Bombyx mori: one gene and its partner. The protein of the gene in region 2 binds, or shares a complex with, the protein of the main gene of each other region. Links are inferred from orthologs where the notes say so. Each region holds a gene or a part of one and is shown on either strand. Other genes may lie near its edges.

Region 1 (4,465 bases), on a different chromosome or scaffold from region 2:
GTTGGAACCCTCGCGTGACTCCCGGGCGAGCCTCATGGCCGAACGTTTCACTACGATAAGGCTTTTTTTTATTGCTTAGATGGGTGGAAGATATAGGCAGGACGATGGTACATACCAGTGCAGACTCACAAGACGTGCTATCACCAGTAAAAGGCTCACCGGTGAGCATCATGGCCTGAATGAAAATAGTCGATTTTTCATGTGGCGTTCAACATGTTAACGAAAAAGCAATATAAAAGATTCATGAGTATGAGCACAAAAATATCACGTCTTCATGTTGCCATTCAGGCAACTGACGCCAATACTAAATGATTTTCAATTGTTTATAGATGGTAAATATGATACTATAGTTACATTTGTTCCTGTTCTTTACTATTATTTTAATACCAAATGCTAGCTACAAACAGGCTCCCATGCCTTTGACAATATCTATATATTGCTATAAAGATGGCAATGGAAGCAAACATGATCATCACGATTTTATCCCATTGCATTATACAGAATTTGTTTCAGGCACTGTATGTAATGCATCCACCATGTGTAATCCTAAACGTGTGATTATGACCGACACCTCTGCAAGGGTTATGAATGAACTTTGGTTGTGACTGAATGAATAGTGTCACAGACTCACTAGATCAAACTTGTTTAGCAGTTGTGATGCAATTGAAGAATTGAATATTTTCAAAATATTAAACATTCTCAGTGCAATGTCTTTATATTTGCACATAATAAATAATATGCCTATAAACAAGCCTGCTGATAACGAATTTCTTAATTAAGAGCAGAACAGATCATTCTTGCCTGTTAAAATTAATGTCACGAATTCAACTCTTGAATGGCAATTTTCTCCTAATGGCTAGCTATTATCGGAATATTGTTACATCATCCCAACAGTTCAGATCAATTTTGCAAACTACTTCAACTTGTATAATATAATCGAATTTGATAAACTGCAGCATTTGATCAAATTTTTCTTTAATAACTGGCCTATACATTACCATTAATAATTTTTTCATACATAGATATATTTATTTTTTAACAACATCATTTTTGAGGAATGCAATAAGAAGACTTCATAATTCATAATTATAACATTTTTCTCTGAATTGTTAAACTTCTATTCCTATTTAACCATTTATCACTTAAATAAAGCTCACATTTAAATTTTAGTAAAAACCATGAAATAAGTCACTTTCACAATCTTTCTTTTCTAAGCTGTTATTGCAAATGTTTTGTGCATGGTTTTTTGTACATTATTGCAATGAAATCACACGATCCTTAACCCATTTATTAGACCTTAGACCAATACTGTAAGTCGACATTCATTGTGATGATGAAAATAATTCAAAATGTCTGCATCTGGACTTGTTTAACAATTGCAATTAAGACCAAAAATTTAATTAGTTAAGAATTCAAGTATACTACAGTAATCTGCAACAGAATAACAAGTTACAACATATGTACACTTGGTACCTTAGAGTTATTTTCATGATATACTATACTACTTTGGAATAATCAATTTTAATTAGTATGACATGATGACCCATTTGTAGTTTAAACATTAAACTCACTGCTCTTAAATTACTCAATAATATAAATAATAATGTTGTAATGTTAATAATTATGTTGCTCTCCAATTCTAACAAACCCAAAAGTCTTCAACTAATTTTTTTTTTTCTTGGCTCTTAGCCATAATTGTATGATTTAGAGTTACAATCATAATTTACAACACAAACGTAATCTCAAGAGGTAATAAAATAAATTATCCCTCTAAAATTTTTAAATTTTAGGAAACAAACTTCCAGACAAACATAAAAGGAAATTTCTTAAGGAAAAGATGATGATTCAATATTTGTTTGAACTTTTAATTCGATGGGTCAGGATAATTCTTCAAGCCTTTGCTAAAATTGGTTTTAGTATTTGTGGCTAGTTGCCACTCTCTTAGTGACAGGTTACAGATTAATCAGAGATACAATTATATTTTATAATCCCTAAAAGCTATATCAAACCTCATATAATTTTTTTAAATAGTACATAGCATTCAGCAACTATCAACAATACTACAATAGTTATGGCCATTTTTGTTAACAGTTAATCATAATAATATACTGTTCAAAAATTACAACAACTGTTAGTTTTTGCCGCAGTCTTATAAAATGCTTTACTGTGCATCGACAGGCTGTCTGACTTAGCAACCAAATCATCTAACTTCTCACCTCTCTCAAGTACAGCTTTTATTGTATCATGTAAAATAATTTTCGTTTCATCCAGATCATTTTGAATTTTCGTCAATGCATCAGCTTCTTTGGGATTTTGGTATTTTTCTAAATGTAAAGCCAATGATGGAAAATCAATTGTTGATTCTTTACCCGTAGCCCAAGTGCTTGATGGAACTGCAGCTGTAAACTCATCAAGAGTTTTAGTGATCAAAGTGTGTGCTACTCTGTTAGGATACTCGTGATCGGATATCAATACTCCAGCTAAATTATCTGCACGCACATACACTTGCAACATATACTCTCCTTCCTTAACTGATTGCCTTGATGCTGGATGTGTCCTCTCTACCATAGTTTTACTAACAAAAGTCATAAATTCTTGCACTGAACTTCTTTGAAAATAACTAAAACTCCGAAGATCATAAGCACCTTTCAGAATGGATGCATTATTAATCCCTTTGTACAATACAAGTAGTGCATAAACTTTCACCATTTTTGTTAGATAATTTTTATCGCTCGGTCTCTGAAAATTAAAACAGTTTTAATACAGAAAAACTACAAAAATAATGAAAAGTCTGAATTTTAAGAAATATATTAGAAGAATTCAAAATAAAAGAAAAAATATATTACCCAAGATTCAATAGCTCGTCGTTTAATTCGTCGTAAATGAGCCTTCTGAATGAATTTTACGTTTGTACAATCTTGGACGTGCTACAATATTAGATTACCCGAAATCAGACAAAAGTCTTAAAATTATTTTAATACATTTGTAAGATAATTTTTCTTCGTGAAATCGTAAAAAGTGATTTTTTACTATTTGGCCTTGGTTATTTGTCATAAATGTCTTAATGCCTACGTCATGAGAATATCTCTTTCACAGATTATTAAGAATTTTTTTAAGGGATTTTATGACCTGGTAACTAAGACCTAAGGGAGCTCATATAGAGTCCCTTCTTTATTTCGCCGTAGTCGTGTTTTATGTAATTAACACCACAGTTGAAACAATATAAATTTTATTGTTGTAGCGGCATAAACAATTCTAAGTAATTATATTACATTAGTTATTAAACACATTATAAATTATTTGTCGTTTTAAATATTTGGCGGTAAAAAGGTCCCGTGTCACAGACTATATTCTTTTTCCCACATCTCGTGCGTTCCGGCTTACGCATCATAAAAATGTGCGTTCATTAACGCCAGAGACCTTTAAGTCATGTTTTATTTTAATTTATTTTCTTATTTATATGAAAAATGATGAAATGAAATGAAGATTATTAATTCGAGACATTAATCAACTGGTATGAAATCAAATGAAATGAGATGAGATGATATGGGATGAAATATAATCTTAATAAAATGGTGGTCATCTACTGAGACTTTTTGGAGGATCCCGAGAAGTGACGTCCAGCAGCTTTGTTTCATTTTCCCACATTAGTGCACTTTCTTTTTTGTATTTTAACTACTTATTAATTCCTATCACATAGGTAAACGAAATATAGCTCCAACTTTTCTCCAAAAAACCGAAACCATGAATTACTACCAATACCAAGGTATGCACGCAACACTCTCAACACTGACAACACTGAAAGTGATTTGACAATTTATGAAATTTAAGGCCGCACAGGCAGAATAGCTAAGTTAATTAAGTAAATAATTCAGTTCAATTGATTGAAGTATCTCTATCTTGAAAAGACTATTTGCAGTGAAAGCTAATTAAGTAATACGACTGCAAAATGTCAAATATAAACTTACAATGTCTCTTAGGAATACAGTGCAACGACTTTGTTATGATAGCAGCCGATCAGAGCAACAGCCACAGCATTATGATCATGAAAGACGGTGAGTTTGCAAATTTGTAACAGAATCCTCTGTATTTTCAGATCAAATTAGTTTTATAAATAAAAACAGATCTAAAAACGGTTCAAGTAAACTTGTTAGGTTGCTTTTTGGCATTTTATTTGTACTAATGGAATCTAACTTCTAATACCAATTTTTCAAATAAACTATACTATATAATCAAAGTTTTTATTCTATTTTACAGATGAAGAAAAGATCTATAAGATATCTGATAGATTAGTAATGGGTGTCATTGGTGACTCAGGAGACACAAATCAATTTGCTGAATATATTGCAAAAAATATTCAGTTGTATAAAATGCGTAATGGGTATGAATTGGGGCCCTCAGCTGCAGCCAGTTTCACACGTCGTAATCTCGCAGAGTATCTTAGGAGCAGTGTAAGTTGTGTTTT
Region 2 (4,564 bases):
CCAAAAAATTAAAATAAAAAGTAAATGTTTGGGGTGGACAACCCTTTTCACTTAGGGGTATGAAAAATAGATAGTAGCCGATTCTCAGATCTACTGAACATACTATTGATACACAAATAAAACCAAAAAAACACGGCTGAAAAATGTATAGTATTGTGTATATAGCTCTTAAATATATTAAGTGTATAAATCTATGATGTATAGTGAGTAAGTAAGACAGGAGACCGGCTTCGTCCTCATCCCTACTACGTGATGTTTGCTGGATGAGTGGTGACACCTGGCGGGGATAGCTGATCGATTGATAGTTGATCAGTAGTCGACCGGCGAGGGCGGGAGATCAAATTGAATTTAAAAAAAATCATAATTGAAGAACTTGAAATTATAAACTCTGAATAAGAATTTATCGTACTACAATTATAATATTTGATTGCCATCTTGCAAACTTATTGCAGATCTGTGCATAGAATAAAAAAAAAATTAATCGGGATGGAAAAATAGGGGTTGATTGTATAAGAGTGAAAATTGACAGTAATATGATTTTTTTTTATTTTAAGTAATGACAAAACAAAATAAAAAACTTGACAAAAAAATTAAAGTTTATAATTAACAAATAAAAAAAGGGGTTGATCATAGAGGGATGAAAAATTGAGAGTAACATCAGATTTTTTATTTTAATTCATGACAAAATAAAAATAAAAATGAAAATCTTGCCAAAAAAATTAAAGTTAACAGATAAAAAATAGGGGTTGATCGTAGAGGGGTGAAAATTTCAGAGTAATATGAATTTTATTATTCTACGTCATGACAAAATAAAAACAAAATTCTCGCAAAAAAATTTAAAGTTTTTAATTAGCAAATAAAAAATTAGGGTTGATCGTAGAAGGGTGAAAATTGAGGATTGTATGTATTTTTGTATGTTGTATCATAAAAAAATAGAAATTAAAAATTTTGAATAAAAAATAAAAAAAATATTTAGGGGTGGACTACCCCTAACATTTAGGGGGATGAAAAATAGATGTTGGCTGATTCTCATAGATACCGGATAAGCACAAAAAATTTCATCAAAATCGGTCAAGCCGTTTCGGAGGAGTATGGCAACGAAAACTGTGACACGAGAATTTTATATATTAGATATTGAGAAAGATATGAATTTAATTTCAGAACTAAAATTATTTCTCAAAATGTACCAAATAAATAATCCGAAATTACTTACCAGCATGGCTTTCCGATCCAGGTTTGGAACCGAATCCACCATCAAAGTTCATGCAACTGAGCACAAACTCCACAGTCTTGTTGATGTCGATGGCATCCAATCGTTGTAAGAGTGATAGACACATTACCGCACAGAAAGAGAACCTAGTGTCTATTTCACCCCATTTGTCTCCTTTAAGCAACATAAAATAATTTGAATAATTTGGGTAGGTATTTAATCTAGCATTCTCTACTGTTTTCATGACTCATAGACATAATTAACCTTCTTTTTAGACTTTAATTTAACATTAAAGTTTAAATAGTATACTGGGATTATTTATATTCCGACTTTTCAAATATTTTACAGAAAAGTGTACTTATGTCTTTCTGTTTGAAAGTACATGTAAATATCAATATGCAATTATTATATAAGTTGAAATTTAGCACATTATTTAAATGTCCATGAATAACAGCTTAATAATGAAAATAACAAATGATTAGATTAAAATGTAAAAATATTTTTTAATTAGGAATATAATGTTTCGCAACACATTGCAAAGAATATTGTTGTTTTAATTTAATATACTATAACCAAATGCTCTTTGGATTTATTAAGTAAATTAATGTTTTCTTTAAAAAAAAGTAAATAGTAATGTTTGTATTTTATGACAAATATTCATTCATTTTAATGTAGTATGATATGAATAGTCAACAAATTTTAGATTATATTCTGATTTATTTATGAGAAGCAAGTGAAGATAATAATATTTACCATAAAAACTACCATCTTCTTGCTGTAAGGAAACTATGTATCTGACAATTCCTTCAATATCAACAGCATCTAATCTATCATACATCGCCAGTACCTGTTAACAAATAAAAGTAATGACAAACAAAATAAAAATATTACGTAACTTTATTCAAATTTTAAAATGATTTTCTGGTTGTTTCATGTTCTACCTGTACAGCACTTAATGTGTATAGTATGTGTGGATCATGTCCGATGCTAGCCGAGATACCTCCACTTTCACTATCTTGGCATTGTGTAATGAATTCTATTATATCTTCTTTAGGCATCCTGGAACAAAATTCCAGGTTTTACAACGCTTGTAGGACTCTCAAAGGCGACTTTCACTTTATTTTTATACAAGAATTAATTTTTAACCATGTTCATTGTTCAAATTTTACAAGGTTTATGTTGATTTAAGGTTGATATAATAATATGATTGATTGAGGTTAATAACGGGTAAAAATCATAATATAAATACTTTTGATACCTTGATGATTGTCCCATGAGTTCCATAGCAGTTAAACTCCAGTAAATACCGGACATTCTTAGATATTCGGTCATACAATACTCGTAGTCATCTTTATTTAAGCCGTAACTGGCTAAATAGTCGGAGTGCTTTTGTAAGAGTAAAGTTTTAGGTCGATCTTCTTTTAAGACAACATCTTTCGTTGTAAAAGACATTTTAAATTTTTATTCTATTGCAATGTACATTAAATTAAAAGCTACAATGTTTTGAAACGGGATGATAATATTTTGAGTTATCAGTCTATCTATCTATCTCTTAGGTTTATGGCGTTATGAGTTATCAGTCAGCATTTAAAGTTAGATGTCAAAAGTGACAGAGGGATTTTATGTCATTGTGACATTATGTTATTAAAGTTTTAACGTTTGGAAATTGTGGGAAAATAAAATATTTAGTCACTCAGAGTTCTACCTTATGGTAGAATCAACCGCTAAATCTTTTGGGGCCGGGCAACATATACAATAAATTGCAAGCCGGGTCTGTTATAATGGTCGAGTTGTAGTAATTTGACAAATTCAATTAATAGTACTGAAGAGCTTTTAGCTCGGGGCGATCGCCGGATAACGCTAGTGGCATAGTAGCACTTTAGCTAGCGATTTAACGCATCGGCTGGTTCGGGACGGGGAGTAGGGAAAGGGGGAACGGGGAAGGTTTTTTTTGCGGGTATTTTTTTATGATTGAAAGATTACTGGTGGCCCTAAGGCCTTTCCAGTTTCTCCAGAACAGGTGGGCGAGCAAAGGCTCAGCCAAGAGGGGTGGGATTTGCCTTTTGCGGGTATTACAGCTGAAGAACATAAGGAGAATTACGAAATAGGGAGAACTATACTCGCCTACACCACATAAACCACTTGATGATGCTAGACGAAAATGGTTACTGGATAATGGTTAATGAATATAACTATTGTCATACAAAGCCAAAGTTATGCCAGGCTATCGGGGCTTACTTCAAAAATATAAATTCAAACAACCAAAAATGTACGTAACCAGGAGCCACAACACAGGTCATTACCGATTACCTACTTTTTTTTTTATTGCTTAGATGGGTGGACGACCTCACAGCCCACCTGGCGTTAAGTGGTTACTGGAGCCCATAGACATCCATAACGTAAATGCGCCACCCACCTTTTTTTTTTTATTGCTTAGATGGGTGGACGAGCTCACAGCCCACCGGATGTTAAGTGGTTACTGGAGCCCATAGACATCTACAACATAAATGCGCCACCCACCTTGAGATATAAGTTCTAAGGGTCTCAGTATAGTTACAACGGCTGCCCCACCCTTCAAACCGAAACGCATTACTGCTTCACGGCAGAAATAGGCAGGGTGGTGGTATCTATCCGCGCGGACTCACAAGAGGTCCTATCACCAGTAATTACGCAAATTATAGTTTTGCGGGTTTCATTTTTATTACACGATGTTATTCCTTCACCGTGGAAATCAATCGTAAACATTTGTTGAGTACGTATTTCATTAGAAAAATTTGGTACCCGCCTGCGGGATTCGAACACCGGTGCATCGCTCAACACGAATGCACCGGACGTCTTATCCGTTAGGCCACGACGACTTCAGATACTACATAGATAAAAAACACCGAATCCTGATCACGCAGGAGCCAGTCACCGTCGACGCCCTAGACACGTCCCTACGGATCTATCAGATCCAATAACCTTTACATTAGACACCTTTAGCTCTAACACAGTAGGGACCTCGATAACCGTACTCGTCGAATTCGACAAAAAGTTCGATGTGCAACCTAACCTAAACATCAGCCCGTTGAGTTTCTCGCCGGATCTTCTCAGCGCGTCGCGATTCCGATCCGGTAGTAGATTAATTCGCGAAACAGTTGCTCTTGAGTTGTTAGGTCTCCTTTGGAGGCGCTCGGGTAGCTGTTAGCAAATCCCACCCCTTCTGGCTGAGCCCTTGCTCGCGAACCTGCCCTGGTAAAACTGGAAAGGCCTCCGGGCCACCAGTACTCTCTCAAACATAATATAAAAAAAAAACAATTATAATATTTGATTCCAATTTAAACAAACTTTATCCAAAAACAATCCGTAATTTTT

What was found.
Region 1: the proteins of geranylgeranyl transferase type-2 subunit beta (region 2) and synaptobrevin homolog YKT6 are in contact, whole or in part, in a crystal structure (PDB 6J7F), measured with the Homo sapiens proteins. The link is inferred for Bombyx mori from reciprocal best matches to the Homo sapiens genes RABGGTB and YKT6. Residues at the interface, in NP_004573.2 of Homo sapiens: Thr3, Pro4, Gln5, Lys6, Asp7, Ile9, Lys11, Tyr37, Leu45, Trp52, Leu236, Asp238, Cys240, Arg281, Gly283, Asp284, Met285, Asp287, Phe289, His290; in NP_006546.1 of Homo sapiens: Lys60, Gln62, Asp63, Leu65, Asn83, Glu84, Tyr85, Pro86, Ser87, Leu153, Asn155, Thr156, Glu158, Arg189, Lys190, Cys194, Cys195.

What each region holds. Positions count from the first base shown.
Region 1 is NC_085124.1:7,755,800-7,760,264, reverse strand, and holds the start of synaptobrevin homolog YKT6, read right to left. Parts: upstream 3,082-4,465; 5' UTR 2,847-3,081; intron 2,740-2,846; 5' UTR 2,710-2,739; coding exon 2,113-2,709; 3' UTR 1-2,112. Other genes in the region: proteasome subunit beta type-2, read left to right, coding at 3,950-4,055, 4,258-4,451. UniProt on the Homo sapiens protein: Vesicular soluble NSF attachment protein receptor (v-SNARE) mediating vesicle docking and fusion to a specific acceptor cellular compartment. Functions in endoplasmic reticulum to Golgi transport; as part of a SNARE complex composed of GOSR1, GOSR2 and STX5.
Region 2 is NC_085123.1:2,128,203-2,132,766, reverse strand, and holds the start of geranylgeranyl transferase type-2 subunit beta, read right to left. Parts: upstream 2,826-4,564; 5' UTR 2,663-2,825; coding exon 2,469-2,662; intron 2,270-2,468; coding exon 2,152-2,269; intron 2,058-2,151; coding exon 1,964-2,057; intron 1,385-1,963; coding exon 1,214-1,384; intron 1-1,213. UniProt on the Homo sapiens protein: Catalyzes the transfer of a geranylgeranyl moiety from geranylgeranyl diphosphate to both cysteines of Rab proteins with the C-terminal sequence -XXCC, -XCXC and -CCXX, such as RAB1A, RAB3A, RAB5A and RAB7A.